Linked DNA regions of Pelodiscus sinensis. Each later gene encodes a partner of the first gene's protein in a complex. Links are inferred from orthologs where the notes say so. Each region holds a gene or a part of one and is shown in the gene's direction. Other genes may lie near its edges.

Region 1 (15,264 bases):
GGTTTAGAAGATAAAATAAAAAAAGAACAAGTTAAAAATCACCTAGAAAAGTGAGATGCCTGCAAGTCACCAGGGCCTGATGAAATGCATCCTAGAATACTCAAGGAGCTGATAGAGGAGGTATCTGAGCCTCTAGCTATCATCTTTGGAAAATCATGGGAGACAGGAGAGATTCCAGAAGACTGGAAAAGGGCAAATATAGTGCCCATCTATAAAAAGGGAAATAAGAACAACCCAGGAAACTACAGACCAGTTAGTTTAACTTCTGTGCCAGGGAAGATAATGGAGCAAGTAATTAAGGAAATCATCTGTAAACACTTGGAAGGTGGCAAGGTGATAGGGAACAGCCAGCATGGATTTGTAAAGAATAAATCATGTCAAACCAATCTGAGAGCTTTCTTTGATAGGATAACGAGTCTTGTGGATAAGGAGAAACAGTGGATGTGGTATACCTAGACTTTAGTAAGGCATTTGATACGGTCTTGCATGATATTCTGATCAATAAACTAGGCAAATACAATTTAGATGGGGCTACTATAAGGTGGGTGCATAACTGGCTGGATAACCATTCTCAGAGAGTAGTTATTAATGGTGGAAAGGTATACCAAGTGGGGTTCCGCAGGAGTCTGTTTTGGGACCGGCTCTGTTCAATATCTTCATCAACGATTTAGATATTGGCATAGAAAGTACGCTTATTAAGTTTGCAGATGATACCAAGCTGGGAGGGATTGCGACTGATCTGGAGGATAGGGTCATAATTCAAAATGATCTGGACAAATTGGAGAAATGGTCTGAGGTAAACAGGATGAAGTTTAATAAAGACAAATGTAAAGTGCTCCACTTAGGAAGGAACAATCAGTTTCACACATACAGAATGGGAAGCGACTGTCTAGGAAGGAGTACGGCAGAAAGGGATTTAGGGGTTATAGTGGACCACAAGCTGAATATGAGTCAGTAGTGTGATGCTGTTGCAAAAAAAGCAAACCTGATTCTGGGATGCATTAACAGGTGTGTTGTGAGCAAGACACGAGAAGTCATTCTTCTTTGCTCTACTCTGCACTGGTTAGGCCTCAGTTGGAGTATTGTGTCCAGTTCCGGGCACCGCATTTCAAGAAAGATGTGGAGAAATTGGAGAAGGTCCAGAGAAGAGCAACAAGAATGATTAAAGGTCTAGAGAACATGACCTATGAAGGAAGGCTGAAAGAATTGGGTTTGTTTAGTTTAGAAAAGAGAAGACTGAGGGGGGACATGATAGCCGTTTTCAGGTATCTAAAAGAGTGTCATATGGAGGAGGGAGAAAAATTGTTCATCTTGGCCTCTGAGGATAGAACAAGAAGCAATGGGCTTAAACTGCAGCAAGGGAGGTTTAGATTGGACATTAGGAAAAAGTTCCTAACTGTCAGGGTAGTTAAAGACTGGAATAAATTGCCCAGGGAGGTTGTGGAATCCCCATCTCTGGAGATATTTAAGAGTAGGTTAGATAAATGTCTATTAGGGGTTCAGTATGTAGGCTGCTCTGGGGAGAGAGGACAATCTCAGCCCTCTTCACCCCAGCAGTTTGGGGTAAGGTGAGAAGTGCCTGTTCATGGCTGCTGCAGCTGCAAATGGGCACAGCTGGGGTACAAGTCCTGCAGCTAAAGGACAGATACACAGACAAACTGACACACAAACGGACAAACTCTCTGAAATATATAGTGGCTAGCTGTTCCTTTCTCCACCCCTGCCCCCTGCTGGCCTAATGAGGTTATAGCTGTCCTAGTCCCCATCTCTGGCCCCTTGTTTCCCCCTTGTGGCCATTCTACAATATTACTTCCCTCCTAACAGATCCCTCCCTAATACAGATTAACAGGGCTACTCAACTTTGCAAGCCCCGGGGGCCACAGTGATATTCACAGCACATGCTGAGGGCCACAACTTAAGTGTGGTTGCACATACATGCAAATATATGCAAATAGCTTCTTTCACATTGATGGGCATGAATACAAAGATTAAGGCAAGACTACACAACACAGAGGCCCCATTTAAGTCAGTTCTGCTGATATTTACAATATTTACCAGATTTCCAACCCCTATGACAGCACTTTTAATGAGTAATGACAGTCCAGGAATTTAACTACTAAAATGCATATCAACTGAAGACCATTAGATTGACTACTTCTTTGTTTTGGCTCCCACCCGCCACGTGTTGAGTCCTGCATAAACTGTACTGTAGGCCACAAACAAATGGACTGCGAGCTCCATGCAGCTCATGGGCTGCATGTTGTGTAGCCCTGGATTAGTATATGCTTTTAACAACTTTGGTTTAAATCATTTCTACTGATGCCAGTCAAGGAGGCAGACTGCTCCTGCAGCCTCTAAGAATGCTAAATCTCTGACACCCTATCTGTCAGCAAGGCATCTATCTTCAAGGCAGTGAAAGAAAGTAAAGACAGGAACAATTCTTTTCTTAAGCTTCATATATTTTGGAGAGTAACTGCTTTGGTGGTTTTTTTTGTTAAAATTAATATTGTTGATTGTATACTTCGTAAGTAATTGGAGTAGTCACTGATAATGTATAAGGCAGACTGGTAGTGGTGCTATAAAGCACAAGAGAAGGTTCCATCACAGTTGGAGACAAAAAACTGCCAGGAAGGCAGGACAGAAGCTGGGGATCAGAAGCTTCTAAGGAAAAGGTTTGAGACAGTTATTGTTCTGTAACTCAATATGCGTATTGCTGTTGCTATCCAAGTTTATTAATTGTTTGGAAAGCAATAAAAGCTCGATATCCCAATAGAGATCCCATTACATTAGGCACTGTAAACACAGTAAAGTCAGTACCTGTCCCAAATTGCTTACAATCTAAGGGATGTCAGCCAGTCTTATTGTTGCTACAACACGGAAGAGTGCATAAGCATCTTTTCCTACTGTTTTGTCATAAGGGATTCTAATTGTACAGCTCTCCTTAGAGACAAAGAGAGATAATAGGAAGAGTAAGGAAATGAGAGAGAGAGAAAGAGAAGTTATTGCTACGTTGCTTTGAGAGTCACAGTAACTTAAAGAAAACAACAGTATCAAAAGGCTGCTAGTGATAGAGTCACTGAGTCTGATTTCAACTGTTGTGCAAGATCAACATTCCCACCAGCTGCAAGGAGTAGGTATGTTATAGTTGAAAATGGCCTGGACAAACTGTAGAAATGGTCTGAGAAATAGGCTGAAGTTGGGATTGGTCCTGCATTGGGCAGGGGGCTGGACTTGATGACCTCCTGAGGTCTCCTCTATGATTCTATAAGTTTAATAAGAACAAAGGCAAAATTCTGCACTTAAGGAGGGACAATAAGCTTCACATATAAAAAATGGGAAGTGACTGTCTAGGAAGGAGTACTATAGAAATGGATCTAGGGATCAGAGTGGATCACAAGGTAGCTATGAGTCCACAGTGTGACACCATTGGGGAGAAAAAAAAGCAAATCTCATTCTGGGATGAATTAACAGGAGTGTTGTGAGCAAGACACAAGAAATAATTCTTCCGCTCTGCACTGAGTAGGCCTCAGCTGGAATACTGCGTGCAGTTCTGGGCACCACAGGAAAGATGTGGACAAATTGGAGAAGGTCGGGAGAAGAGCAAGAAAAATTATTAAAGGTCTAGAAAACATGACCTATGAAGGAAGACTGAAATAATTGGGTTTGTTTATTTTGGAAAAGAGAAAACTGAGAGGAGACATAACAGCAGCTTTTAAGTAGCTAAAAGGGTGCTACAAGGATGAGGGAGAAAATTATTCTCCTGGGCCTCTGATAATAGGACAAGAAGTAATGGACTTAAATTGCAGCAGGAGAGGTTTAGATTGGACACTAGTGTTCTGTGCTTCACCTGAAAGCTTTTATGAGCTGTATACACACACACCCTTTTGTCATCTGACTTCAGGGTTATTTCAGTAAGGAAAGAGACCAGAGAATGATGTAGAAATGTCGAATCAATCTTCTAGGTCCTTTTTAGGATACTATTATCTTTAACAGTACGTGGGAAAAGAGGCCATATTTGCCAATAGACATCATCATGGTTTTTTACTCTGATTTGCACTGAGCAACCAGAACAGCTAAGAGAATATGGTCTAAATGGTGTTTCTTCATGAGCCTTTCTCTGCCTAAAGTATTTACATAAGTTTGTATTTACATAAGTTTGCCAAAGTATCTGAAAATCTTGCAGTCTTTAAAGTATTAATTCTCCCAGTATTCCTTTAAGATAGGGAAGTACTATTGTACTCATTTTTAAAGATGGAAAGCTGAAGCACAGGTCAGATTTATACCACAGTGAATATAGCAGCATAATCTGGTAATTTTAATTTTTATATAACTTTAATGCAACATACAATGAGAGTGTTCTGTAAAGTCTCATCACTAGCCTCAGTCAGTATGTGCCTCGATTTGGTTGTTTGAGTAACAGCATCTCCTTGCTGCCTCCTACAGCTTGTGTGGGCAGGGCAGTATTTCTGATTATCAGCCTGCAGGGCAAGTATCCAATTTATGGCAGTTTGCACATCCATTTTTCTGCAGTGCTAGCACCAGGAACTGTTTTCTGCTGTAAGTTACATTCAGAGATGGTGCTGGAGCAATGGAAGCAGAATATGTGCCATATGTATAATAAGGTACCTATGTAGAGATTATTTTCCTCTTTCTAAACTTCAGCGTTTGCCTGCTTTGAGTCACGTCCTTTATAAGAAGAAGAGGAGATTTTGGAATCAGAATGATCTCTGGAAGTCAAGAATAATATCAGGGATACTAGAAATGTTTATAAAAGGGATGCTGAAAGCCATTGAACAAAACTGTAAACCCGGAATGTGATGAAAGCTGTGCATTCAGTTGCTATTATTACTTCTAGCCTGAAGGTGCTGCCACACTGCCACCCTGGTTCCAGCATCCCTCTATGACAGTTGAGAAGGAACAAGCAGCTAACCCTCATGAGAAGAGGTGCTGTAAGGGCCCCCTCTGGAGGAAAATGAAAAGTACTGCTGTTGATTTACCAAGCAGTAAGAAGAAGCTAAGTGTGGTAGTTTGTAAACTAGTGGTAGATTTTATTTTGTTTGTATTCAAACCCCTACAAGGAAATTAAATGTGGTATAGGAGGGGGAAAAATAAAGGAATTTCTTTGAAAGTGTTAACTTCTGAAATGATTGAATTGACTAAGTGAAAATGTGCAGGCATTTCTGAGAACCTTTTGATGATTGGGAATTAAGTCTTAGGCTTTCTCATAGCATCCACTTTACCATGTTTCAGTCTCCAAATATCTGTGCACAGCTGTCAGGCATCCTAACATAAGAATAGGGGATAAGTACCCTTCCCTGTCCCATAAATGAGGGATAAGACACACACTTTATAGAAATAGGGAATGGCAAGAAGATAAAGTCAACAATTAGTCTACAACTGTTACACTTGTTATATACATTTAAACTGCAGCTATATAGAGAGATTTATATATATGTATAGCACTTCACACAACAAATAAAGACCTAACCATAAATCTTACAATCTAGGTAAAGACCACTACAATAGAGAACTGGGAAAGACAAAATATTACATGGTCACATGGGAAATTTATTGTAATTCTTATTGATGTATCAAATGTGTTCAGCTTGAAAGTAAAAATGTTTTCCCAAACTGCCAGTGCAACAAATTTCCTCTGTGCCCTAAAAGTTGAACTGGGTTCTTTACTTCAGATAAATTACCACCAGCAATAAAGATTTGACAGGTAAAATGTTGCCCTCTTTTACACTTGTACAGTGTTGTTTTTGTTTTCAAGAAGGGTGGAAAAGAGGGAGTTGAAAAGACGTAAAGAAGGCCAGAATTTTGTCTGGACCTATAATTGCATTAAACTAACAATTCTGGCAACGATGAATATAATTTACTCTTGTAGGCTTTATCTAGTCTATAATAAAAATGTTTTTGTTAGCATGTTCTAACATATTTTAAAAACGTCACTGGAGACCACACATATTATATTTTAATGTGCTAGGCTACATCTAGACTGCAGGCTTCTTTTGGAAGAAGCTTTCCCAAAAGAGATTTTCTGGAAAAACTTCTTTACAAAGAAAGCATCTACACAACAAAAGCGCATTGAAAAAGTGATGTTTTTTGGAAGGATAACATCCACATTGATTGGATCCTATCTCGCATTTGAGTTGTGATTACTATTATCGCTGTTGGAAAAACCCCGTGCGTTCTTTCGACTTTCTGTCAAAAGATCGCCATTGCAGTATGGATGTAAGTGTAGTTTTTCTGGAAAAACGCCCGTTTTTCTGAAAAAACTCTGCAGTGTAGACATACCCTTAGATAGCTGAGGAGAATCTTAGGAAACCTGTCTACACTAGGGCAACATGTTACCTAATAACAAAAATTAGCCTTAGTCTAGACAAAGCCTTTATATTAGCAGACTTGGTGAGTGGAGTGCCCTCACTTAAAAAAATAACTGTAGTTATTTTTTATAAACTAAACATGTTAGTTTTGTTTTCTGATATTTTGGCTCCCTTCTTTTTAGTGTTTACCTGGGAAGTGGAATTGAACCACGTTTGTGCTTACTTTCCTCCCAAATAATGCCCCACACTGGAGATGCTCAGCTCTCCTTTCTCCCATCCACCGCAAGGTTAAACACATTTATTCATCATTGCTCTATTATATATAGATTATAATTCCTGCTAAACATTTCTTTTGCACAGTGGAATAGAATGCATGTCTGGTCTCTCTTTCTCACGTGATATTCATTGCAAAGTCCAGTCTGGATTTGGACAGTGCACTGTCCCTCTATTTCCACCTCTGTGGTCCTTGCTTTCGGTATTTGGTAGGTCCAAGTTACTATAGGTAGGTATTCTGCTAGTAAGACAACTTCGTGTTCGGGGATCTATAGTATAACAGTTTAGCTTGTTGCTTTTCCTTGTGATCTGTCGGTTGGTGCCTAGCTGCTGAGATACCATCTTGGCTGGTTTTTCTTTAGGGGTGGAAGTTTCGCTTCCCTTGCGGGAAGTAAGCGTTAGCGCCCAGGCAGTGAATATTATTATATAGGCAGAGGGACGGATCACGCTTTCGTTTGAGTGTAATTTCTGGCCCTCTCCTGCTTGGCCGAGGAAGCACTGAGCAGACTTTGCTGTCATGGCAGCAGCAGTTTAGTTTTCTGTACGTTGCTTACGTGGGGGAATCGGAGCCGGGTCTGTTCCGCAGCCATTACGGCCGAGTTGCGCGGGTTTATAGAGCGATGCGCGGGGTCTCGCCCCACGACCGGGTAACGGGCTGTGAAAGCTGTTCCTGCGCGAGTCTGGCGCGCTCTTTCCGCCTGCCCGCGCCTGGGCAGGGCGCTGCCTGCGTCAGCCGGCAGGGGGCGCTGCTGCTCCGCCTTGCAGCCTCTCTCGGCGGTTCCATTGGAACAGCCGGAGACAACTTGGCGCCATTTTGAAGCCGATAGGGAGACCGGGGCGAGCTGCGGAAGGGGAGGGGGCTAGAGGCGATTGGCTGCAGCAACGGCGGCGGCTCCTCTCCGAGCCTAGAGCAGCGGCAGCGCGGAGCGGACCCGCCTGGCAGCGGCGAGGGAAGGCAGCGGCTGCTGCAGGGGAGGTAAGGAGCCCGGTGGCGCCTGCTGCAGGGGAGGTAAGGAGCCCGGTGGCGCGGCCGTGCGCCCTTAGCCGCCCCGCGCCTTGCTCCATTTTCCTTTCTCCCCCGCTGTAGCCGGGCCGGAGCGGCGCCAGCCCGGGCCATGCTGCACGGCCAGTGTGTGGGGGAGCCCGGCCCGGCGACGAGCCCCCTCCCCCCAGCTGCAACCTTTCCCTCGCCACCCCTGTGCTCTCTTCTGCCTCCACACGCCAAACTTGGCGCCCCCTCCTCTTCCTAAGTCACTGGGGGGAAGGGGGGGAGAATCCTGGCGGGGGGTGACCTTGGCGGGGCTTTGCTCCTTCGCCCAGAGTTGGCGGGTGGTGCTGTGGGTTGCTCCCCTTTCCCCGGGTGACTTGGGCTCGTGCAGTTTCCCTGGCGGACGGCGTCGCGCTCTCAATGTGCTGCTTGCTGGTGGTTCCTTGTGGCGGAGCCGTGACGAGAGGGTTAACGATTGTGAGTCCCTAGGCGCTGGCCGTTCCCTTCCTGCCCCGGGCAGCTGGCCTCGCCCCCCGCCTAGCAGCACCCAGGGCTCCCGCAGCCCTTTCGCCCTCCACGACCCCGAGTAGCTGCCGTCGATAGTCTCCACTTCCCAGCGATCGCAGGCTACTTAGCTAGGGGGAGGTGGTTACTGAGACCTGGATTTGGTGGGTCACTATTTTCAGCAAAGCTCGTTCACCCATGTTTCTCTTTTACCCCGTTCTGGGGGAGGGGGGGGGGATATGGATTTAGTTAATAAATATGACATTTTATACATGCATTGACAAGTAAAGGACACTGTGTGTAGAAAATATATATTATTTGAGTCTCTGGTCAAGGAATCTATCTGTAACTTCATACTGCAGCAAATAACTCACTATCTGTTCTTCAAAACAAATCAACAATACATGATGGTGTACAAATCTAAAAATTCATTTGCAATAGCTGAGCTTTTAAAGGACTGAATTTTACTATAAAAGCTCTATTGTGATTCCGAGTTGCATGAGTTTTGACTTTTAAATGGTTATCTATTGATAACTATTACTGTCTTTTCAGGTGTGCTATATTAACTCCGGTTTAATATTTATTGCATGCTATTCTGTCTTTTGATTTCAACACTTTATGAAATGATGGGAGAAGCACTTTAGTCATGTTCAGTATTATCTAGTCATTAGTTGTATAATAGATAAACATTGTAGAAAATATAAAACGTTGAAGGTGTATAATGGAAAATATATCTAAAATCTTTGACTTCAGAAGGGGTATGCAATAAGATGAATTCTTTCATATTCCTCCCTTCCAAACAAAGCTGTTGTCTTCCTCCTGAAAACAACAATGGGTTCTAATTTATTAGATCAAAGTTGATATAGTACGTTTTGTGTGTAAAATGTTATGCAACTTCTATATATTCTATTTCATTTTTATTTGAACCAGGCTAACTGATTATTTAAGCAATGTGGAATTGAAACATTTGTGTGTGTATTATGCACAGACATCCTAAATTAAAATGTTATGTTACTGTTAGCATCCTTTCTTGATTCTCTATCTTGACTGCAATATGCCACGTGCCTACCATTTAGGTCTGAAAAGTATGTACAAGAGAAAAACAATAATAGTCTGACACCTTGTGCCTAGGTATTCAATCTGTTTTCTCTTGTGCCCATGTTTCTTACTCTTATGGGTTAGTGGTAGTACCTAATACTTTGTTCACACTTTTTACTAGTTGTTGTTCCAATTGATTGGTATAACAAACTGTAGTCCTGGGTGTTTTGTCTGAGAAGTTGAATAAACTGAAGTTGTGGAAATGTGAATGTTAGACCTATGCAGCAACATCACCTGCTAAAACACATTTTGGAGAAGTCAAGTACTGTTGTTCAAAATATAGGTTTAAGTTGGATAGTTCAGTGAAATTAAAGCTTAAAGTTTAAGTAAATTTCAACAATTAGCAATCATTTGAAAAGGAAAAGCGTAATCCTTTGTTACGTTTTCTCTTTCGGATGTGTACAAAGCCTTTTCTTGAGGCAGTGCTATATGTCTGACTGATAACAGGAGTTTTTCTGGTGGGATATATTTTTATCTTTTTTTTTCCTCTTCCTCTGGTATCCCCTTCTCTGAACTATTGTTATTGGTCGAGCACTGATCTTGTGCTTCATGTGGTATAGTATATGAAACAAATGTATAGCCTAGTTCAGACAGACAGCACAATTTATTCACATAAGACAATATTAATTATATTGTACAATTGTTGAAGTCTAGTGATGATCATAGACTTCTTGGAGGAAGTGGTTTTTTAAGGTTGGATTTGGAAAAGACCACATACTCCACTTGTTGCACAAACAGAGTATTTTCCACTGGACAACTCAGAAGAAGAGATGCAGATGAGTGAAAGGAGGATCCATAGTATGCGATGGAGAGTGATTTTTAGGCATAGGAAAAGCAGGGTTGGAAAAATGAAAGCAAATTTATAATCTCTTCTCTATTCACCCTTGTTGACACTCTTCAGCCCCAATTCATTGGTAAGAGGCTTTCCTTCCTTTACTGTCTCTTTTCCTTACATGTTCTTTGCCTTTTCCAGAGCAGTTCTGTCATTACTGTCTAGTGGTAGTTTTAGTGTCTAGCACTCTGTGCTGATATGACAGTTCATGCTTAAGGTTATAAAAATAATCTAGTGTCTGATTGGAACTATGCACCCAACGTACAGTTATATCCCATTATAAACTCTGAAAATAGAGTGAGAATCTTGAGGGAATGGTTTTAGAATTAATCCTGAGCTGGGGCTAGTATGTGAAAATTCATTCTCTCTCTCCCTCTCTCTCTCTCTTAAACAAACTAACCTGTGGGACAAAAAAGCGACATCACGTCACAGTATCCACAGGCTGGGGGGTAGGCATGGGTGGGTAAATCCCTACCTTTCCCTTCTACTCCTGGCCCCACCCACTGCCAGCCTGGCCTTCTCGGTCAGCCACCTGGAGAACCAGGCAGGTGTGTTGCGGACCGGCATTCCCCAGATGCCGGGGGCAGGGCCTGGCAGAGGGGGTAATGAGATGGCAGAAGGGCCTCAGGCTGGCATGGCAAGGGAGCGGGGGAGAATGGACCCTGGCTGGTGCTAGACAGTCAACTACTCATTCACATATGTGGTAAGCAAATGCTTATCAGATAGTCAACAACTGTGTTGATTTAGTCGTCCCCCCTCTTGCCCCCACACACTGTCTATTAGAAAGAGGAAGCAAGTGGGGGAAGAAATGGGGGTGCTTCAAAGTGGCAGTGCCGTGTGGAGCCCCTGGGCTCCCTGCGGTGCTGTTGCTTTGAAACTCTGCGGGAAGCATGGGGCCAGTGGGGGACTGCCCCTTTAGCCTTGCGCTCCCCGCAGCGCTTTTTCCTTTGAAGTGTAGCAACAGTCCTGGGGCAGTTCCTACATTTTAAAAGTGGAGGTGCCCTTATCGACTAATCAAAGAGTCAGAGCAAATTGCATCAATTATTTGATTAGTCATTTGAAATTTAACATCCTTGGCTGGTGCAGCCAGGGCCGGGAGAGGTGGAGGGGAAGGGACTAGGGCTGGAGTGGCCGCGAGAGGGGGGTTAGTGAGCATAGCAAGCAGTGGGTGCAGCCCCCTAGTGTATTAAAAAGGTTAAATGGACTGGTCCTGCTCTGAGAGTGTTAGGCTGTGGGTAAATTGTCTGTCTTGATGGACAATGCTTAGGTTGCACAGACATTCTGGAGGTAATTGTGCAGACTTCTGCTGAAGAAGAATTGCCAGAACACAGGGCCTTTAAGAATGGATACAGTCTCTTCCCTGCCACCAAACATGTAAAAGTTCTCTGTGTGTGTGTGTGTGTGTGTGTGTTGGTCTTTCAGGAAATTTGATTTTGTTCAGTTTTTAAGGATAGTAGTGTATACTTAATTTTAAACAAAGTATTGATATAAACGGTAAATAATTTTGACTGAGATGAACATGGCTAGTTAGGGATTGCACTAACAAATGTGTATATTTGTTGTGGTTCAGGCAAGTGGCTACACTAGAGCTCTAAAAGATTTCACAAAAATAAAATTAACATCATACAGAAACTTAAAATACAGCAAACCTAATCAAAAGTAATTCCTGTAATATAATGAATGGAGAATCAAATGCAAAAGAGTAAAAGATAAAACCTCCTTAAATACCACAAACCTCTTCCCTCACTCCTTCACACCTAATACAGATCACACTCCAAAGTTTGAGAAAATAGATAGGCCTTGAAGCATATCCTGAAAGTGAAGTAGTGAATTCTAGTGCTGAGGGCTTTTCCTGGACAATCCCCTGCCAGCAGTCCCTTTTCCTTTAAATTGTGTGTTTTCTGGCTATTGTGCCTCAGCTTACTGTAATTTGGGGGTAGTGTTTGTGGTGAGAGATGATAAAACAGCAACTCACCATCTAATTTAGATGGTATATGTTGATTTTTTTTTTAATCTGAGATTTTCTAGATTTGGCCATGATTCTATCCTCAGGTGAAGACTTCCGAATCAGTTATCTTCCTTTGGTATCACTAGGACTTGAGAGATGCTGATCAGTGTTGACATAATTAGTATAGAGCTGGGGCCCTAAATAGTACATGAGAATACAGTCTTTTGCTGTTTGGATTAAATCAACATAGAAAAAAATAGTCAGTTCTGAGAGATCACATGGATTTGAAGAGTTGCTTAATGGGTTGTAACATTGTAAATAGTGTGTGTGATAGAGATCAAGGCATAAAGTAGACTTCTTTTTTTACATAAATTGCATTTTGTCACAAATGATACATGTTCTGTCCTCACAAATACTTTTTTTTTCTAATGTCAGCACTTACAAATAAAGTGTGGTGTTCTAGCTAACTTTCATAGAAATTGCGAAATGTAAGTGATGGAAGTGAAGAATAAAACCTTAGAAGTAAAAGCAACTTCTATCAGAATTTTTTAAATGAAATTTAGTCCTTTAGGAAAATATAAATGTGCATGTTTGCTCTTAACTTTGTTTTAATTTACACTCTTACCTTTTAATGTGCATATCTAAGAAGCTAGTAATCCATCTTTAGAATGTAGAAATAAGTGGTCAACTGCTTTGAGAAACTCTGGAGTCCTACTGCAGATTTTTCTCAACTGTGCTATTTTTCACACTTGTGCCACATCTGCTAATGCATATTTCAGTAAAAAATGTGTCCTTTAAATTCCAGAACCCAGATAATCCTTTTCATAATCCCCCTACATTATTGCTGCTTATGTTATCATTAATACCTTTCTTCATAAAGAGGACTAGACCTTCACTTATGAACTAGAAGTCTAATTATCACTGGCTTTGGAAGGGCAACTACTGAATGGGGCTCCCCTCCCATTATACTACAAGTAGTCTGTGAGCAGTGCTAGCCTCTGCTTCTGTATGAATCAAACCCAGTTCATTCACATGGGAGTTGAGTATAATACAGCTATGCCTAATATGTTTTTGAGAAAAGCTAAACTAGAAAAGAGAAAAATTCAAAAATTGAGAGATTTCAACTTTTATGGTGCTAAGTGGATGCAAGTAGTGTAGTTTATAGGACATGTCCAAACATCTCTTTAAATATACAAACTTTCCCTATCTAGTTATAATATCTCTTTGAGTTTATCTGCTTCACTTTTCTTAGCCCTGGTCTAGACTTCAAACTTATGTCAAATATAAATGCATTGCTTAGGCTTTTGGAGAAAACAACTCAGTGATACAGAAGGTAGCTCAGTGTAACTGGCGACTTACACTTCACTGTCAGTGTAGGTAGTTCTTCACTAACTGAAGTATAGACATTCTTTTAGTATCTCTAGACTTTCTCTCTATATTTTCATGAATAATGCAGATGAATAACTTTATTTTCCACAGATTTGGCGAAGTGCGTTCTTTATAATTCCCTTTTGATAAAAACAAAATGGGCCGAAGTTTTAAATTGAGAAAATGCACCTTGTGGGAAGACACTTTATTTTAAGTGACTTTGTGGCTGTGAACAAATATGCTGAAGTTTTTCTGCTTTTTTTATGTTGAATGTGTGTTACGTGAAGATTTTTGATGGTGTAAGGTGGAGTGATTGAAATCAAGGCAATTTAAATGATGAATTAAGTTACCAAGTGGAAAGTGCTAATTTAAGTAATTTTAATAAACTTTTAAATTGGTACTTCAGTCAGCATGTTTTAATGGTTGTCAACCAATGTGAATGCACTTTTCTTTGGAAAAAATTGAAGTACAGCTGTAATATTAGATTGGTACATCTTTTTGTTGTCTGAGGGTACACTATTACTATGTAAACAATTTATATAGCTTAATATCTTAACTGTACATTTGTAGTATGTCAGCAAATGATGAATGATGTATTGCTTATTTACTAGATAATTGACATTTTACTCATGATTTGCATCAAACTGCATTAGGCTGGTAACTAGAATTTAACTAAACACACAAGCATATACAATTTATTTTTATTAAATCAGAAGCCCACAGTAAAATACAACTCCAAATTGTTCTCCATCAAGTACTGTTCCATATTGATGAATCCTGACCTTACAAATTAGATGTTTTCCTCCTTATTCATTCTTTCTTTAGAGAAGTGATAGAGGCACATGGATTAAGCATAATTGTTTCCAATTTAAATGATTTGACAGATTATAATAAATTTAGGTTTTAACTTATTTTGTATTAAATTCTGATGTAATTTTAAACAGGTTTATTTTTAACTATTATGATTTAAATAAAATATCTTATTTTAAATAACATCCCTTTTCTGACTTAAATCAAGTTTGATCTTTTATATACTGATACACAATCAAATTTTGCTATTATTTCCCTTCAGAATATTAGTAATTATTGTACTGGTTGAGCTGAGTGTGAAGCTTTCTGCCTAAAAATGTAGGGATGAGAATACATTTTGCCAACATCAGTTTATGGAATTTCTTCAGTTTTTTGTATGCTTCTCCTACTGCTTAATTTGAAGAAGCAAAGGTCATTTGGCTGGTTTGCCTTTTTCCATTCTACTGATAATTGTACCTTTTCCCCCCCCCCCCCCCTGTTGGTTCTTCACTCCCCCCCCCCCCCCCCGCCCCCTTTGGGCAGCTTCTACAACAGTGGTCTCCAACCTTTCAGTAAGTGCAGTCCAGGAGCCCCCTCAAACCCAAATACCCTTATCCCACCTTCTTTGCACCTCTTCTTTGAGGCTCTGCCTCTGTCCCACCTCTTCTCCCTCCACCATCCTAACTTATTTTCACCAGGCTGGGGCAAAGTGTTAGGATAAATGCTCTGGAAGAGAGTTTGCATGCAGGAGAGGGTTCAAGGCTAGGGCAAGAGTCCAGGATGCAGGCTCTGGCTGAGTATCATTTACCTCGGTTCCCAGGCTTACCCCCATCCTGGCCGAGCTCCATTCCTGAAAGTGGCCAGGATGTCCAGCAGTGACTCCTGGGGGATTGGAGATGTCAGATGCTACTCCCCCATTTATAGGCACCTTCCCTGCAGCTCCCATTGGCTTTGGTTCTCCATTCCGGGCTGGTGGGAGCGTGGGCCAGTGCCTGCACGCAAGTACAGTGTGTTGAGTCCTTCTCCCTGGCTTTCCCCAGGGGCTGTAGGGATGTGCCAGTCACTTCAAGGAGCGATGCAGGGTCAGGGCAGGAAAGAGTGTGTTTTTGGCCTTGCTGTTCTGCCTGACTCTTAGCAG
Region 2 (15,078 bases), on another chromosome or scaffold:
AGTTCAAGACCCCTGGCTTGGCAGATGCCATCTGCATATATTCCAATTAAAAAGAGAAATAACACACAAGGGAATACACAAAGCATGTCCAGTTAGTAATATCATGTCCTGTCTCCTTCCTGCAGGTGGAGGAATAGAATAAGGCAGTGGTACACGCAGTAGCCAGCTCATTACAAGAAAGATGTTTAAAAAGCAATTGCTTATGGCATGTGTACTATATTGTATTCAAACTTTATCTGACAATGCATCTCTTAGGCTTGCATTAAGGATTAATGCAGTACAAACACAAAACCAGAGCACTGCAAAAACCTGCTCCTCCCTGTCCACCCACACAGTTGTACAGGAATAACCCCAGTTTTTAAGAGTCAAATTATTTCTGATAAATAGCATATGATTATATCAGAGACTATAGTCCTCTATCAACACACCACACCACACCACATCCAGTGAATCCTCCTGTGCCCAGGTGGACTAAGTTGTGAGGCCCTCTGCTGGAGACCATGTGGTCATGCCACGCCACACCCCACCCCAGAAAGGGGCTGTTGAGAGATTCTCTGAGCTACCTAGAAATGGCTGTTTGGGGAGCAACCAATCAGGGTCCAGCAAGCTAGTATAAGGAGAGCTGCTGTGCTATGGCAAGTGGGGTTTCTTGCTAGAGCTGAGGGTGCTCTAGGCTGGCTGCCACCAGGACAAGGCCCAGAGATAAGGGTAAAGAATGTGCTGGAGCCCTGGGGAAGCAGTGCAGGGAGTTATAGCAGGAATGCAATTATTTAAAAAGACATTGCAAACAGCTGCTAGCTAGAGGGCTCTGGGCTGGAACCTGGAGTACAGGGCGGGCCTTGCAATCTCTTCCCCCAGCCTCCCATTAGCCACTGGCAGAAGTGGCCTGGGTAGTGAGGCACTCCTGGGGGAGGAGGGCACTGGATTATAGTGACCCAGCTGAAGAGCTGAGGCCAGAAAGGCCCTGAGGGGGCAAAGGCATTGCCTCCGAGAAGAAGCCCTGGGACCCATTCTGCTCTGGAGTAGGGACAAACTGAAAGTCAGTAGAAGGCACTGAGAGAGGCCCTGTTGGACTTGTTCCCCAAAAGGTATTTGCTTTGTATTAACAAACTGTGTGTGACTCTGCTGGAGAGATGAATCACTGCAAAACCACCACAATCACAAAGGCTATATCTACACTGGCGGGTTCTTGCACAAGAACATCTTGTGCAAGGGTTCTTGTGCAAGAACACATACACATTGCCATGTGCCAGATGTGCTTTTGCACAAGAGCATCCATAGCAGTGTGGATGCTCTCTTGTGCAAGAAAGGTCTGATGGCCATTTTAGCCATAGGGCTTTCTTGCGAAAGAAATCCCTGCAGCGGGTCCACACTGCCCTCTTGTGCAAGAGCTGTTGCGCAAGAGAGCTTACACTTGTAAGAAAAGAGTGTAGCTCTTGTGCAAGTAGCTCTCTCTTACCACGCCGTACTGTAAATTTTCTTGAGCAAGAGCAGGGGGGCAGTGTGGATGCTCTGAGGATTCTTGCACAAGAACGGCTGTACTTGCACAAGAACCTGCCAATGTAGACATAGCCAAAGAGAGTCAAGGCACATGCATTTGGCCAGGGGATACTTGTGGGAGGTGTATGCACCCCATTACACCTCCCCTTTCAGCCTACTAAATAGCCAAAACCCTAACCTGGAAGGATAATACCTAAGGGAGCCTATGTCTTCATTGCAAAAATTCATGCAACTAACCTGCTGTAAAATGCTAGAGGAGACATGGTACAGCTGGTTTTCAATCTCACTGCACCAAGATGAGATCAACCCCAAGTGCGGGTACAGTGTTGACTTCAATGAGGTTTATTGAGGTCAAAACTACCGGTGCCTTCTCTCCACTAGGATTTGAAACCTGTTTTTTCCAGGAGAGTTGGACACTTGGAAAAAGACTGTTCTGAACAAACATCTGAAATTTAGATGTCTGACTGGTGGATGACTGCTGTTGGCTCATCTAGTAGAACCAGTATTTCCAGGGTCTGTCCTTAGGTGGAAAGGATGCTGCTATTGACACGCCTGCAACAGATGAGTGTGCAGGTTACAGGAAGAAGGTGGAAGAATACAATGTTTACCTGCTTGATGCCTGGATCTGACTCAGTAGTGCCATGGTTTGAATCACTTATCACACCCATGTAGCTGCTTGCTGTGTTCCCTATAACTTGTGCTTTATCCTAGTTAGTGATGCTTTAAGCATTACATTATTAAACTTTGATGTATTATGCATCAAATTAGGTTTTTCACATGCTGAAGGAGTCACACCAGGCAGTATGTGGTCAAAAACAGTATGAAGCAAGCTCTCCTTTTTCAAATCCTAGTTAGTCCCCTTTCTTAGGGGTTAGTTGAAGGAGATGTACAGAATTCTCTCCAATATCACAGCTTTACTAAAGAAGTCTATATACTTCCTGGAAAGCAAGCTTTTTCAGCATCCACAAAATCATACTGTAATGTTCCACTCTCCATTTAAATATCACTCTGCTTAACCCAATGATTCTAGCATGTTTTCAACCAGAGTAACTAAACATTTTTAAGAACTGCAGAGAATAGGAAATTGAATTGTTGCTGAAAACAAGACCTTCAACTGGTTCTGAAAGTCACTGTTATGTTGGCATAGACACAGCATCCCATTTTCAACATTATTTAAGAGATAGTATGTCAATGGTAGAACTCTCATTGACATCAATGCAGCCAGGATTTCCCTGGGTTCTGGATTATGTCAATCACAGAAGAGGTAGAAGCCTGAAACTAGAACTGGTCAAAATTAAAGCAAGGAGAAAAATGTGAATTGGGAGATATTTTTCTTCTCACTTGTGTGTGGCCTCAACTGTGAGTCAGTAGCCCCCACTCCTGCCTTAGAATCATGAACTTTACCGTATCATAATAAATTTGACTCAAGCTGCCCTCCTCTTCAAATTCTCAACTAATTCCTTCCTATTTGTCAAAATCAAATCTAGAATAGCCTCTCCCCGGTAGCTTTTTCTACCTTTTGAAATAAAAAGTTCTTAATACACTCCAAGAATTTGTTGGATAATCTGTGCTCTGCTGTGGTGTTTTCCTAGTGGATGTCTGATTAGTTGAAGTCACTCTGTTACTACCAGCACTACCAAGACCTCTGCTCTGGATGATTTTGTTTGTTTAAAAAAAAGGCTCATCCACCTCTTCTTCCTGGTTAGGTGGTCTGCAGAAGATCCCTTGCATATCATCACACTTTTTTTACCCCCTTTTATCCTTAGCCAATATTACAAGTCCGTCTCCTTCTTCCATCTCAACTTCAGTCCAAGGGACTGTGGGAAACTTGGCCACACCCGTGATAAGTGAACATCTGACTAACTAAAGTCATTCCAGGCCATGGATGTTGCTGGACCAGAGAGTGCTGGACTAGAGAGGTTCAAACTCTATTAGAGACAAAAAGGGATACAAGTTAACATTCTAAAAATACACTAGACTCAAAGGCTGTGTCTAGACTGCATCCCTTTTCCGTAAAAGGGATGCAAATTAGACACATCGCAATTGCAAATGAAGCGGGGATTTGCATAAACATGGCTGCCGCTTTTTTCCGGCTTGGAGCTTTGCTGCAAAAAAGCACCAGTCTAGATGGGGATCTTTCAGAAAATAAAGCCTTTTCTGAAAGATCCCTTATTCCTTTCCGAAAGATCCCTTATTCCTCTTAAAAAAGGGAAGACAAAGGACAAGGTAGGCCCTTTACTCAATGAAAGCAGAAAAACTAACAGAAAATGAAGTGCCTAATGACTTTTTTGTTTTAGATTTCACCAAGAAGATTGGTGGCAATTGGATATCTAGTATACGAGTGAAAATGAGGTAGGAATAGAAGCTAAAATTGGGAAAGTACAAGTTAACAATTTCTTAGATAAATTGGATGTCTTTAAGTCAGCATGATCTGATGAAACACATCGCAGAATACTCAAGGAGTGGACTGAGGAGATATCTGAGCCATTAGCTATTATCTTTGAAAAGTCATGGAAGATGGGAGAGATTCCAGAAGATTGAAAAAGGAAAAATATAGTGCCCATCTATAAAAAGGAAAATAAGGACAATCTAGGTCATTACAAACCAGTCAACGTAACTTCTCTACCAAGAGAGAGAATGGGGGAAGTAATTAAGGAATTAATTTCTAAACATCTACAAGATAATAAGGGAACAAATAACAGTCAGCATGAATTTGTCAAGAACAAATGCCAAACCAAGTTGATAGCTTCCTATGACAGAGAAACAAGCCTTGTGCAAGATGGAAGCAGTAGATGTGGTATATCTTGACTTTAGTAAAGCTTCTAATACTGTCTTGCATGACCTTCTCATAAGCAAACTATGAAAATGCAATCTAGATGGCCAGTGTAGACAGCTCAGATTTGTTTTGCGCAAAAAAGCCCTGATCGCGAAAATGGCGATCGGGGCTTTTTTGCGCAAAAGCGCGTCTAGATTGGCCACGGATGCTTTTGCGCAAAAGTGCTTGTGCGGAAAAGCATCTGTGCCAATCTAGACGCTCTTTTCCACAAATGCTTTTAGTTGAAAACTTTTCCGTTAAAAGCATTTGCGGAAAATCATGCCAGTCTAGACACAGCCAGAGAGAATGGAAAATCACTGCATAGGAAGGAGAACTGAAGAAAGGGATCTGGGGGACATAGTCAACTACAAGCTAAACATGAGTCAACAGTGTTGCAAAAAACCCCAAACACCATTCTGGGATACGTTAACAGAAGTGTTGTAAGCAAGACATGAGAAGTAAAGGAAGTCCCCAACTTACAAACAGGTTGTGTTCCAAAAGTTTGTAAGTCAGTTCTTTGGAACTTGGAACACATTTTCCCATAGAAATAATGTTAAAAATGGTAGTTAGGTTTCCAGGCTAGCCCACAAAAGCTTATTTAACCCATAATGTAGCAGAAATACTCTATATTTGCAATGAAAAATAGTAGAAATATTTTTTCAACCTTGACTTGAACACTGGTGCTTGAGGAAAGGAAGATTTAATTAGAGCAGGATGAGGAGCTAACGGGGAGGGGGGAGAGGGAAGGGGTGCAGAGGGAGCCCCTAGGGATGTTAGATAGCGTGTAATTGAATATTTGTGCAACTACATCAAATGTTAGCGGTTATACAACTATTTGATAGTCCCCAGAGATGGGGTTGGCAGCCAGTGCACTCCCGGGGAGCCACCTGTTACCCAATGCTGCTGCTCAGGGACAGGGCATCAGACTCTGGAGCACAAGGTGTTGGGCTCAATTCCTCCCTGAGAGTGGTCAGACAGCCCACTGCTGTTGCAGAGGCAGCAGTGAAGGGTGGCAGGTGGGAGCCAGTCCACAGGGGGAGTTGGTTTAAACACCAGCTCCCCGCTGACAGAGGCTGCTCTGCGACAAGAGTCCCTATCTTTGGCGGGCCCAGGCTCACCATGGACAAAGGCTGCTCTACAAGATGCTGAAGCAACCAGTAGATCCGGATCTACCAGTAGATCTTGTAACCTCTGATAGGTGATCCTGACTGATTTGGCCAGGAATCTATCAAGTGCTGGCACTTCAGTTGCCCCTCCCCCCACCAACCTTCCTTCTCATCTCCAGACCCAACACATACGTGGGCGGGTTGTTGTTACTTCTTGCAAAGTGGGTTATTTTTAGTGTTTGACTGATCTGTGCATTTCGTAACTTTCATTTCTCTCTTAGGCTTAAATGTAATTCTTTGAAAAGTGAGTTCTAAAAGGCCTAAACTGTCATGTCTGGAGTCATTATCCCTGTGGTAATTGTGCTCCCGGAAGTGGCTGGCATGTCCCTGCAGTGGGTCTCCACACGTTGTCCTTGCCTGCACACACCACTCCTTAAACTCCCATTGATCAATAATGGAGAACCATGGTCTGTAGGAACTGTGGGGTTGGTGCCTGTAGATGAGGGCCAGTGCTATACATGCCAGCTGCTTTCAGGAGTAAGCCTGCCTTAACTCTGCTGCTCCATATCTGGGGCAGCTGTCTGGCCACTGTCAGGGAGGGAGTGAGCCCAACATCCTGTGCTCCAGAGGAGGATGCCCTATCCCTGAGTTCACTGGAGATCCCACTCCACCTCCCTACCTTGAGCAGGTCCTTTAGCCTCCTTTCCAAATGCAGGAGCCAGCTCTATCCCTGGGGCAGCCTGTGTTGGCTGTCTGGCTACTTCCAGGGTGGGCAGGGGCAGGACTAGAGTCCCCAACCCTATCCCCAGGAAAATCCCCAAGACCAGTGTTCCTCAACCTTTTTTTTATAAAGTACTCTTTAAAAAAAAAAAAGTATCTACAGTTTTCAGACACACACAATTTTTTTCTATCGTTGCAACACATTTGTTTAAACAACTTAATCGTAGCCAGGCAGGTGATGAAATGTTTGGGTGTAAAAAATACAAAAATAATAAAATGCTGTAAAACTTAAAAGAAAAATTCAGTTTTCTCCAAATTTCAGTTGTGTTGATATACCTCCCAGACTTCTCTTGGGTATCCCTGTGGGTATTCGTACCACTGATTGAGAAACACTGCCCTAGACCACTCCGAAACCCACCCCACCCCCTTACCTTCAGGGCATCCCCTCCCATACTCCGAACCCCATGGCCGAAGACCAGAGCCTGCACTTCAACCCCCTACCACAGCCTGGTGAAAGTGAATGAGATTTGGGGAGGAAGGAGGATGGATGGAGTGAGCAGGGTGAGGCCTCGGAGAAGGGGGGAAGGAAGCCGCGCAAGGGTATTTGGGTTTGAGGTAGATCTTACATTGCATTTAAATAGAAAAAGTGATCTTGTGGTTGAAAAGGTCAGATACGATTGAGCTAAGCCCTACCTTGAGCCCCCCTACACTTCCTAACCCTCTGTCCTAAGCTATCCACCTTCTCTCTCTCCTTACCTCTGAACCCTCATTTGCCTCATTTTCAAAAAAATACAAATGAAATAAAATATGTAGAGCTAGATAAACTGCGGCAAGAGCTACTTGCCAGCCCCACGCCGCGCATGCGCCAGACCAGCACTGCACGTGCACAGCGCCAGTGAATAGGGTGCACAGAGCGACTGGCTGAAATCTACTCGCAACGGGCGAGTAGAAACAGCGGTTTGTCGAGCCCTGAAAATATGTATATTTTTATTTTATTTTCCACCCCCCAAAAGTCAGTTAAAGACCTGAGCAAAGCTGGGTACTAGGGATGTTAAATATTGGTTAATTGAATAGTTGAATAACCTCATTAATTCTTATTGGTAAGTCAACTATTTTATAGTCCCTGGGGGCAGGGCCAGCAGTCTGTGCACCTCACTCCCAAGGAGTCCCCTACCACTCCATGCTGCTGCCTCTGTATCAGAAGCAGCAGAGTGGGGTGCCAGGCAGGAGTTGGTCTGCAAGGGAAGCCAGTTTAAAAACCTGTCACCCTGTGCTGTTGCCTCTGATAAAGAGGCAGCAGTGCAGGGTGGCAGCTTCCCTTGCCTGGTGTGTGTGTGTTTGGGGGGGGGGGAGGGGAGTCTGAGCTCCCAGACACAGCGTGAGCTGGAATTGAGTCTGCCTGGCTCCTAATGCACTTTAAATACAGTGCCGCAGCAGGGGTAGGTCCCAGACTTGGCATGAGCCAGGACTGAGCCAGGCTGCTAAAAAATTTACTGGTGGACTAGAGGGGAGGGAAATGTGTGTAGTCTACAGAATTAACTTATAAGCTTTTGCTTATCAGTTAATCAACTACACGCTTACATCCCTAGTGGGTACATCAAGCAGAAGGGTTAAACGTGGAGATTACTTGACAGACTAGCTGTAAGTGAATTTGTTCTTACCGCACTCAGCTTTCTCTACAGCACTTTATTTTCATGAGCTAGTCAGAGACAGAAATAGATGAATAGCTTTGCTGTTTTGACTAGGATTAGTGGAATAGTGGTGCACAGAATTTTGCTGAAGGATGTTCAGTGATAGCCTTTGTGATGCTTTTTGACTAACTGGGATTTTTTATAAAATGTTTCTTCTGTGGACTGTGAGTAGCTGTTGGCAAGTGGAGTTTGGGCAATAGCTGCATGATTTGAAGTATTGCAGGATTCTAATTAGAGACATTTGTTATGGATGGATAAGTCAGTCTCTTGTTTCACCCTCGCTCGCCACTCCGGAGGTGGAGTTGACATTGTTTGGGAGCCTTAACTGGAACGTGTTGCTCGGAAGATCCGAATTGCAGCGCAGTCACACTGAGCGGAGCGGGGCCCGGCGGCACGCGCCAGACCGCCCCAAGCCTCCAGAGAAGCAAAGCAGGAGGCTGAGTGGCAGGCAAGCCCGCGGTCGAGAACTCTGGACTGCAGCCCTTCCCGCCACCGCAGCGCACGGCCCCGCCCCGCTGAAACGTCACCCGCCCCTCCGGAGACAAACCGCTCGCGGGCACAGCAACGTCACCCGCCGTCAAGCACCCCCCGCCCCCTTCCGCGCGCACGCTGGCGCCTGATGCAAGGCCGGCGCGCGCACGGAGCTGCACCGCCCTGGAGCACCGAGACAAGCAATTGGAGACTGGCGGGGGTGGGAGGCGATTCCCCTAACTCACCCTCCGCGTTATGAAACTACAGGTCCCAGCGTGCCCCGGGCGCGCGTGCGCAGGGGCGTCCCAGCGCCCTTTCGGGGGCGCATGCGCGGCGGCGTGTGGGTCGGTTGAGTAAGGCTGGGCGCGATTGGCTGCGGGGAGGCGGCCGAGTGTGGGAAGCGCAGTGACGGAAGGAGCGGGGGGCAAATGGCGGAGAGATGGTCCAGGGCCCTGTTCAAAGAGCAACGATAATCCTGGTGCGGAGAAAGCGGCGCCGGAGGAGGAGGCGCCGGGGGCCCTAGCGCCAGCGCCCACCCCCACCCCGGCGAGGGAGGCTCCGCTGGGGGGGCGGGACGCGGAGGAGTCGCGTTGGCGAGCGCGTCCGCGGGCGGCGTTTCGGGGCCGAGGCAGCCGCGTTCTCGGGGCCGAGTCCGAACCGCGCCGGGAGCAGAAGCCGGGTCCCCCGCCGCCTCCCTCCTCCCTGGGTGAGACCGAGGTGGGTACCGGGCGGCGGGCAGGGCCTGCGCGGCTGCCTGGCTCCCGGGGCCTGCGCGGCCTGCAGCCCTCTGAGAAGGCCCCGTTGCCCCTTACGCCGGCGGCCGCTCTTGCCCCGCTTTCTGCCGCGGGCGCTGCGCCTCGGGGAGGGGGAGGCTGGGACGTTCCAGCGGCCGAGGGACGCCGGGTCGGGCGGAGGGGGGGGAGGGGTGCGTGTAACTTTCCCTCCGCGCAGTTCCCCGGGAGCTGTGAGCGGGCCCGGCCGGGGGGAGTTGAGGGAACTTTTCCCCCCCTCCCCTCGCTAGCTTGCGGCTGGCCTCAGGCGCAACTGTCTGGGATGTGCGGAGGAGCAGGTGGCGCTTAATCAGGGGTGGGTGCGGAGCCTGCTTCTGCTTCCTGTTCGCGCTGGGTGGGAGCCTCCGCCACTCAAGTGAGAAGCTACTTGGGTTCTTTCTACTGTTTGGCGGTTCAGGGGTTTGGGATGCGAGAGCAGGGACGTGAGAGGCTTCGCATTCCGCTTTAAGCCTGCACGAAGAACAGGATGATGGTGATTCTCTGGGGATTTCATTAGCTTCATATGTCCAGTACTTGACCTATTTTTCTGTCCTTTGATTATGAAAGGGAAATAATTGGCAAAAGAGTAACAAGTAAAGAGAAGTGGTGTGCGTCCCTCCTTTAAAACGAACTGTCAGGTCTGGTTGGGCCACAGATTTCAGAAAACAGTGGTTAAAAACGGGGAATAAAGTTCTTAAATTAGACTTTAGTTAGCAGCTTGCATACTTTGCAACTATATGCAAACAATGTATGCAATTGTTTGGTGTCTAAGTATTGCACCATTGCGCTGGAGTAGGACAGCTAAAAAGTATTAGGGCATAGAAGTGAAAAAGTGAAACTAAAATATGTTGTTGATGAGTGAAAAGCAAGAAGAGTCAGCATTAATAGGTACAGTTTAATTTGGGCTCTTAAGTATTCTATATTAATAAACTAACACTGGCAAGGAAGTATTTTTAAAGTATTGTTAATCTGACTATGAAAGTTAGAAGCCATATTTTGATTAAGTGACTATTACTACATCATGCTTATAGGTTCATGTTTAACATATCAAGTAACAACACAGCTTTTAATGTCTTTATTCTTGTTTAGTCTTATAAAATAGATGTTTCAGAAGATAATTGAACATCTATGAAAATAGCAGTATTTTACATAAGGAGGTTAGTCATAGGGCAGGGCTTTATAGTCTGAAATTAAAAGACTTTTAGTCAGGGTGGGGTAAAACTTGCATGTTTTTTGTGAATAAAAAATATCTTTTCCCTGAGGGTAGGAGCTGCATAGGCTATCGGTTTCTACAAAATTCATTTTGCTTAAATATGTTTTCTAGACCTCATGGTTGTAAAGATGGCATTTGAAATATGAATAGTTACTGTACTCTTTTTGAGCCTTCAGACACACATCATTTGCCTGCTCTATTACTCATTCCTGAGAACTAATCATTTTGCTAAGCTTTGCTTTTGCAAGTTTAAAACAGGGAGCAAGTTTTAAAAGTACAGAGGATCACCTCAGATTCACTTAGCTCCTTGAAGGGGAAAATGGATAATTAGAGGTAAATATTAAACTATTGACATAGGAGAAATAAATGAAAGGAGAGTAGCTACTACTCAACAAAGAGGAGGTTCTAAATGAGTGTGAAGGAGTAGAGAGAATTGCAGAGCATGCTAATTTTACCAGTAGCTAGAGGTGTCAGTTTCAAATTAATCTACACAATAGTAGAAATGGCAATAATATAGGTAGTCATAAGTGGTATCTTACAAATTAGAAATAATTTACCATATTTTGAAACTATTAATAGAGGAAATGTTTATCAGTGCAACTTTGTCTCAAGGATGCAATAGTGTAGTCAATTAACAGATAAACAAAAGTTTATCAGTTAATGCTACAGACTACATGCATTTTCCCCTCCCCTCATCCGCCAGTAAGTTTTTTAGCAGACTGGCCAGCAGCCTTTCTCAGTCCTGGCTTGTGATGGGTCTGGGACCTACCTGTGCTTAAATACACCTCTGAATTTCAAGTGTATTAGGAGGTAGGTGGGCAGGCAGCCCAGCTAAGTGCCAGCTCATGGCTGGTCCAGGAGCTCAGACCCCTGCTGGACGGGAGCTGCTGCCACCCTGCACTGTTGCCTCTGTATCAGAGGCAGCAGTACAAGGCGACAGGCAGCCAGTCTGGGAGGGGAAGTGTTTTATAAACTGGCTCTCTCACGGACCAGCTTCTGCCTGGCACCCCATATTACTGCCTCAGATACAGGGGCAGAAGTGTGGCGTAACAGGGAGCTCCTCTGGAGTGGGGTGCACTGGCTCCTAGCCGCATCCCCACAGACTATAGAATAGTCAAGTAACTGATAAGGATTCATGAGGTTACTTGATTATTCAATTAACCAGTATTTAAAATCTCTACTTTGTACCCCCAATTTAGGATTTATAGGAACAGATATTTATCTAAGTGCAATGTAAATGTTCCATAAGTTTGAAGGAAAAAATTAGCAAAACGTGTAATCTGACTTCCTGTAAAATTCCACTTCTACATCTGTATTTGCAGACCTGAAGATTGACTTAAGTTGAAATTCAGTGTAAAAAAAAATAACTTTATCTATTACAACTGCCCAGGCTGAGAATCTAAAATTTAACAGTATAGATTAAGGGAAAATGTTTTATGTTTAATGTAAATACAGCCTAAATATTTAATTGATCTGCTTTTGTCTTCAAATTAAAATAAAGGCAGCAGGAAAACAACGAGAAACAATGGTCTCCCCTGTGACCTCTGTATAGTAAAGAACGCTAATGGCCAGATTTCATGAGCAGACACCAGGTTTCAGTCTATGATGTAGTTTGCATGACTGAATTTGATAGGACCCTATATATAATATAATTCTGTCTTGATGCACAGTAAGCTCATTGATTTTTGCCCTGTCTACAATGGATAACCATCCTTTCTATAACAGTCCTTAATGTATTTGAAACTGCTAAGATGTTTCCCCACAGTCTCTCTGCCATTAGTCCACATCTTTTTTTAAAGCATGATGACCAAAACTGGATGCAGTACTCCCATCAGAGGCCTACTCTGTACCAAGTGGGACTGTCAGATTCCTGTTAATACATCCCATGTTGATACTAGCCTTTCTTGCAGCTGCATCACATTGTTGACTCATGTTCAGTTTATGATCCAGTATTGTCACCAGTTTCTTTTTGGTATTACTATCATGTAACCAGTTATTCTGCATCTTGTATTTGTGCATTTAATTTTTCCTTCCTATTGGGTTATTTTGCACTAAATGAAATTTACTGAATTTAATTTTCAGAATTCCCAGCAATTCTCCATTTTGTCAGGGGTGTTTTGAATTCTAATCTTGTCCTCCAGGATGCTTGTGACCTCTCCCAGATTGCTTTCATCATCAGGTTTCATATGCATATGCTCTGAGCATGCCATTCTCCAAGTAATTATTAAAAATATGAATATCCGCATCCAGGTCAGACCCCAGTGGGACTTCACTAGAAAGATCTTCTGTGTGAAACCCAACCATTGATAACTACTGCTAGTATATGGCGCTTGGAGGATGGGGTCTTTGAGAGAGTTTGGTTGAAGAAGGCAGTTGTGTCCTACGGTAGAGGACTGGCATGCAGGATTTTGGGATGTGGCCTAGGATAGGAGGGGATTGTGATCTGGGACAGGGGATTGGGGTGCCAGATCTGGGAAGGGGGTATAGGGGCAGAGGGTTAAGGAAGGGAGGTGCTGGGGTGCCAGAGGTAGGCTCTGTCTGGGAGGTGCTTAACAGCAGAAACCTGAGGCAGACTGCTGCAGGCTGCTCACTGCTCCACATGGCTCCGCATTGGGCATGAGAGGGAGGAGAAGGGAGATGGGATAGAGGAGGAAGGGACAAGGCTTGCTACACTGCCCCTGTCTAGGACCTTGTCTGTCCTCCATTAATAGTCAAATATAATTATTAATGGTTCAAAAATTATTTCAGCTTGCTGCGTAAGTACCCTATGGGGAAGACACGTTTTAAAAACCAGACTGGATTATAGTCTGTCTACTCTAACATGAGCTGCACATACAAATATGGAATGAAAATAGTCTAAAGTTAGACAAAATACACAACCTTTTTAATTTTTCCTGAAAATAATGGCCTCAAGCCTTGCAAATGTAGGTATTATGTAGGAGTATGATATGGAAACAGAACCATCCAAATATTTATTCAGAGATCCCTGCATATCTGCAGATATCTGCATGCACAGGTGTGGATGCAGATACAGATTTTCTATCTAGAGCCCTGCAAATTTGCAGATATCTGCTTCATATCCTTGGGTATATCCATTTGTGGATCTGGATATCCATGTCTCTCTTTTGTGGATAAGGAGACACAACATTTTGTATCTGTTTAGTCATAGCAGATAAGTTTTTATTGACTCAAGGTGGTGAATTTCTACTAAATAAACAGGGACAAGTGAGTGACTGTTGTATATTGAGAGGCATGATATCTGTTGCAGAACTTGCTTTAAACAGTGTGCATTTTTTAAATGAAGTGAATGATGCCAGTCAGAAACAGTACTAACTTACAATACTAACTTAAAAACGAACATCTATGGTATCTCTAATAAAGAGTGGGAAAATAATCATTTCTACTAAAAACAACAGTATACTGAAACTAACTTTTATATATTTTTTTTTCACACAGAGAATATGAAACAGTTGTCAAAATGACATCCAGATTTGGAAAGACATACAGCAGGAAAGGGGGAAATGGCAACTCAAAGTTTGATGAAGTCTTTTCTAACAAAAGGACCACCCTTAGCACAAAATGGGGAGAAACCACATTTATGGCCAAATTAGGACAGAAGAGGCCCAATGTCAAACCAGATATTTCAGAAATTCCTAAAAAACCGAAAGTCGAAGATGAGGTAACAGAAGATCCATTTGGATTTGACAGTGATGAAGAATCTCTGCCAGTGTCTTCAAAGAATGTATCGCAGGCTAAAAGCTCTTGTCAGCTGGAACCCATTGAAGTTGTTCAGTCTGAGGACTTCGCTTCTTTACTTGAGGCTAATAGCAGAATTCATCAACCAATCAGTAGAGACAACATTGTGTCCAGCAAGAGTCTATCTTTTGACAATATTCTTTATGGGTTAAAAGAAGAGAGCACAAATGTAGAGGATGAAGAAATCAAAAGCAGCAGAGCTGATCTCATAACAGGTAAATTTTAGATTAAACAATTTTATAATACTTAAACATGCTGTGATTTTTAATAATCTTGTTCAACTTTTTTTTTTAAAACTGTTGCATCTCCTCAGCTTTGTTTAAATGTTGGAATAAAACCTATGACCAAATAATCTTGCATATGGAGAGCAAAAACTAACTGGATACAGAAATTTACAATATTTTATGTATCAAATGTAAATTAAGGGATCAGCTACCATGTTCTAAAAAACACTAGCTTTGCACGCAGTTTTGAGGTGTATTCTTTCTTCAGTATGCCTCTATACTTCTGCATATCTCCTACCCTTAAGCACAAGTAGAAATTACATTGTTTCTAGATGATGCAACTCAGGGGATTGATGAGTCCTTTTAGGTAGCTGGTTTAAATCTGGCTACAGACAGGTAGTGAGTGATAAGATTGTCTGGCCATTAAGTTATATGAAATGAGTCAGTGTACTACATTTTCTCTTTTCATAGTTGGGGATTAGTTTCAATACAAATCAAATAATTAAATAGGCATATAGTTTGAAGTTCCTTCAGACCTCTAGCTGTTTTCAGTTTAGAATTGAGGCAGCGTAAATGATCTGGTACTGTTCTTACCTATGCTTTGTTTGTTCTGGATGAGTTAGAGATGTGAAGGTATACCTGTTCACATGATGAACCTGGGCTCCTTGGTTAATTGTGTAAACAATTACACACAGCTTTCCTCCCCTTGCTGTCTCTGATACAGTCGCAGCGTAGGGGTGGGCAGGTGGGAGCTGATGCTCCCTGTGCATGCCAGCTTCCCTGGAGCTGCTTCTCCTCCTCCTTCCTCCTCC

The links.
Region 2: the proteins of PDS5B (region 1) and WAPL are in contact, whole or in part, in a crystal structure (PDB 5HDT), measured with the Homo sapiens proteins. The link is inferred for Pelodiscus sinensis from reciprocal best matches to the Homo sapiens genes PDS5B and WAPL. Residues at the interface, in NP_055847.1 of Homo sapiens: Gln47, Phe88, Ala92, Pro93, Ala95, Trp137, Val138, Lys139, Ser140, Asn142, Ile143, Phe145, Glu146, Glu187, Gly188, Asp189; in NP_055860.1 of Homo sapiens: Lys7, Thr8, Tyr9, Ser10, Arg11.

What each region holds. Positions count from the first base shown.
Region 1 is NC_134711.1:298,198,000-298,213,263, reverse strand, and holds the start of PDS5B (sister chromatid cohesion protein PDS5 homolog B), read left to right. Parts: upstream 1-7,414; 5' UTR 7,415-7,608; intron 7,609-7,647; exon of another isoform or gene 7,648-8,255; intron 8,256-15,264. UniProt on the Homo sapiens protein: Regulator of sister chromatid cohesion in mitosis which may stabilize cohesin complex association with chromatin. May couple sister chromatid cohesion during mitosis to DNA replication.
Region 2 is NC_134718.1:18,738,710-18,753,787, forward strand, and holds the start of WAPL (wings apart-like protein homolog), read left to right. Parts: upstream 1-8,624; 5' UTR 8,625-8,781; exon of another isoform or gene 8,782-9,020; intron 9,021-13,742; 5' UTR 13,743-13,764; coding exon 13,765-14,257; intron 14,258-15,078. UniProt on the Homo sapiens protein: Regulator of sister chromatid cohesion in mitosis which negatively regulates cohesin association with chromatin. Involved in both sister chromatid cohesion during interphase and sister-chromatid resolution during early stages of mitosis.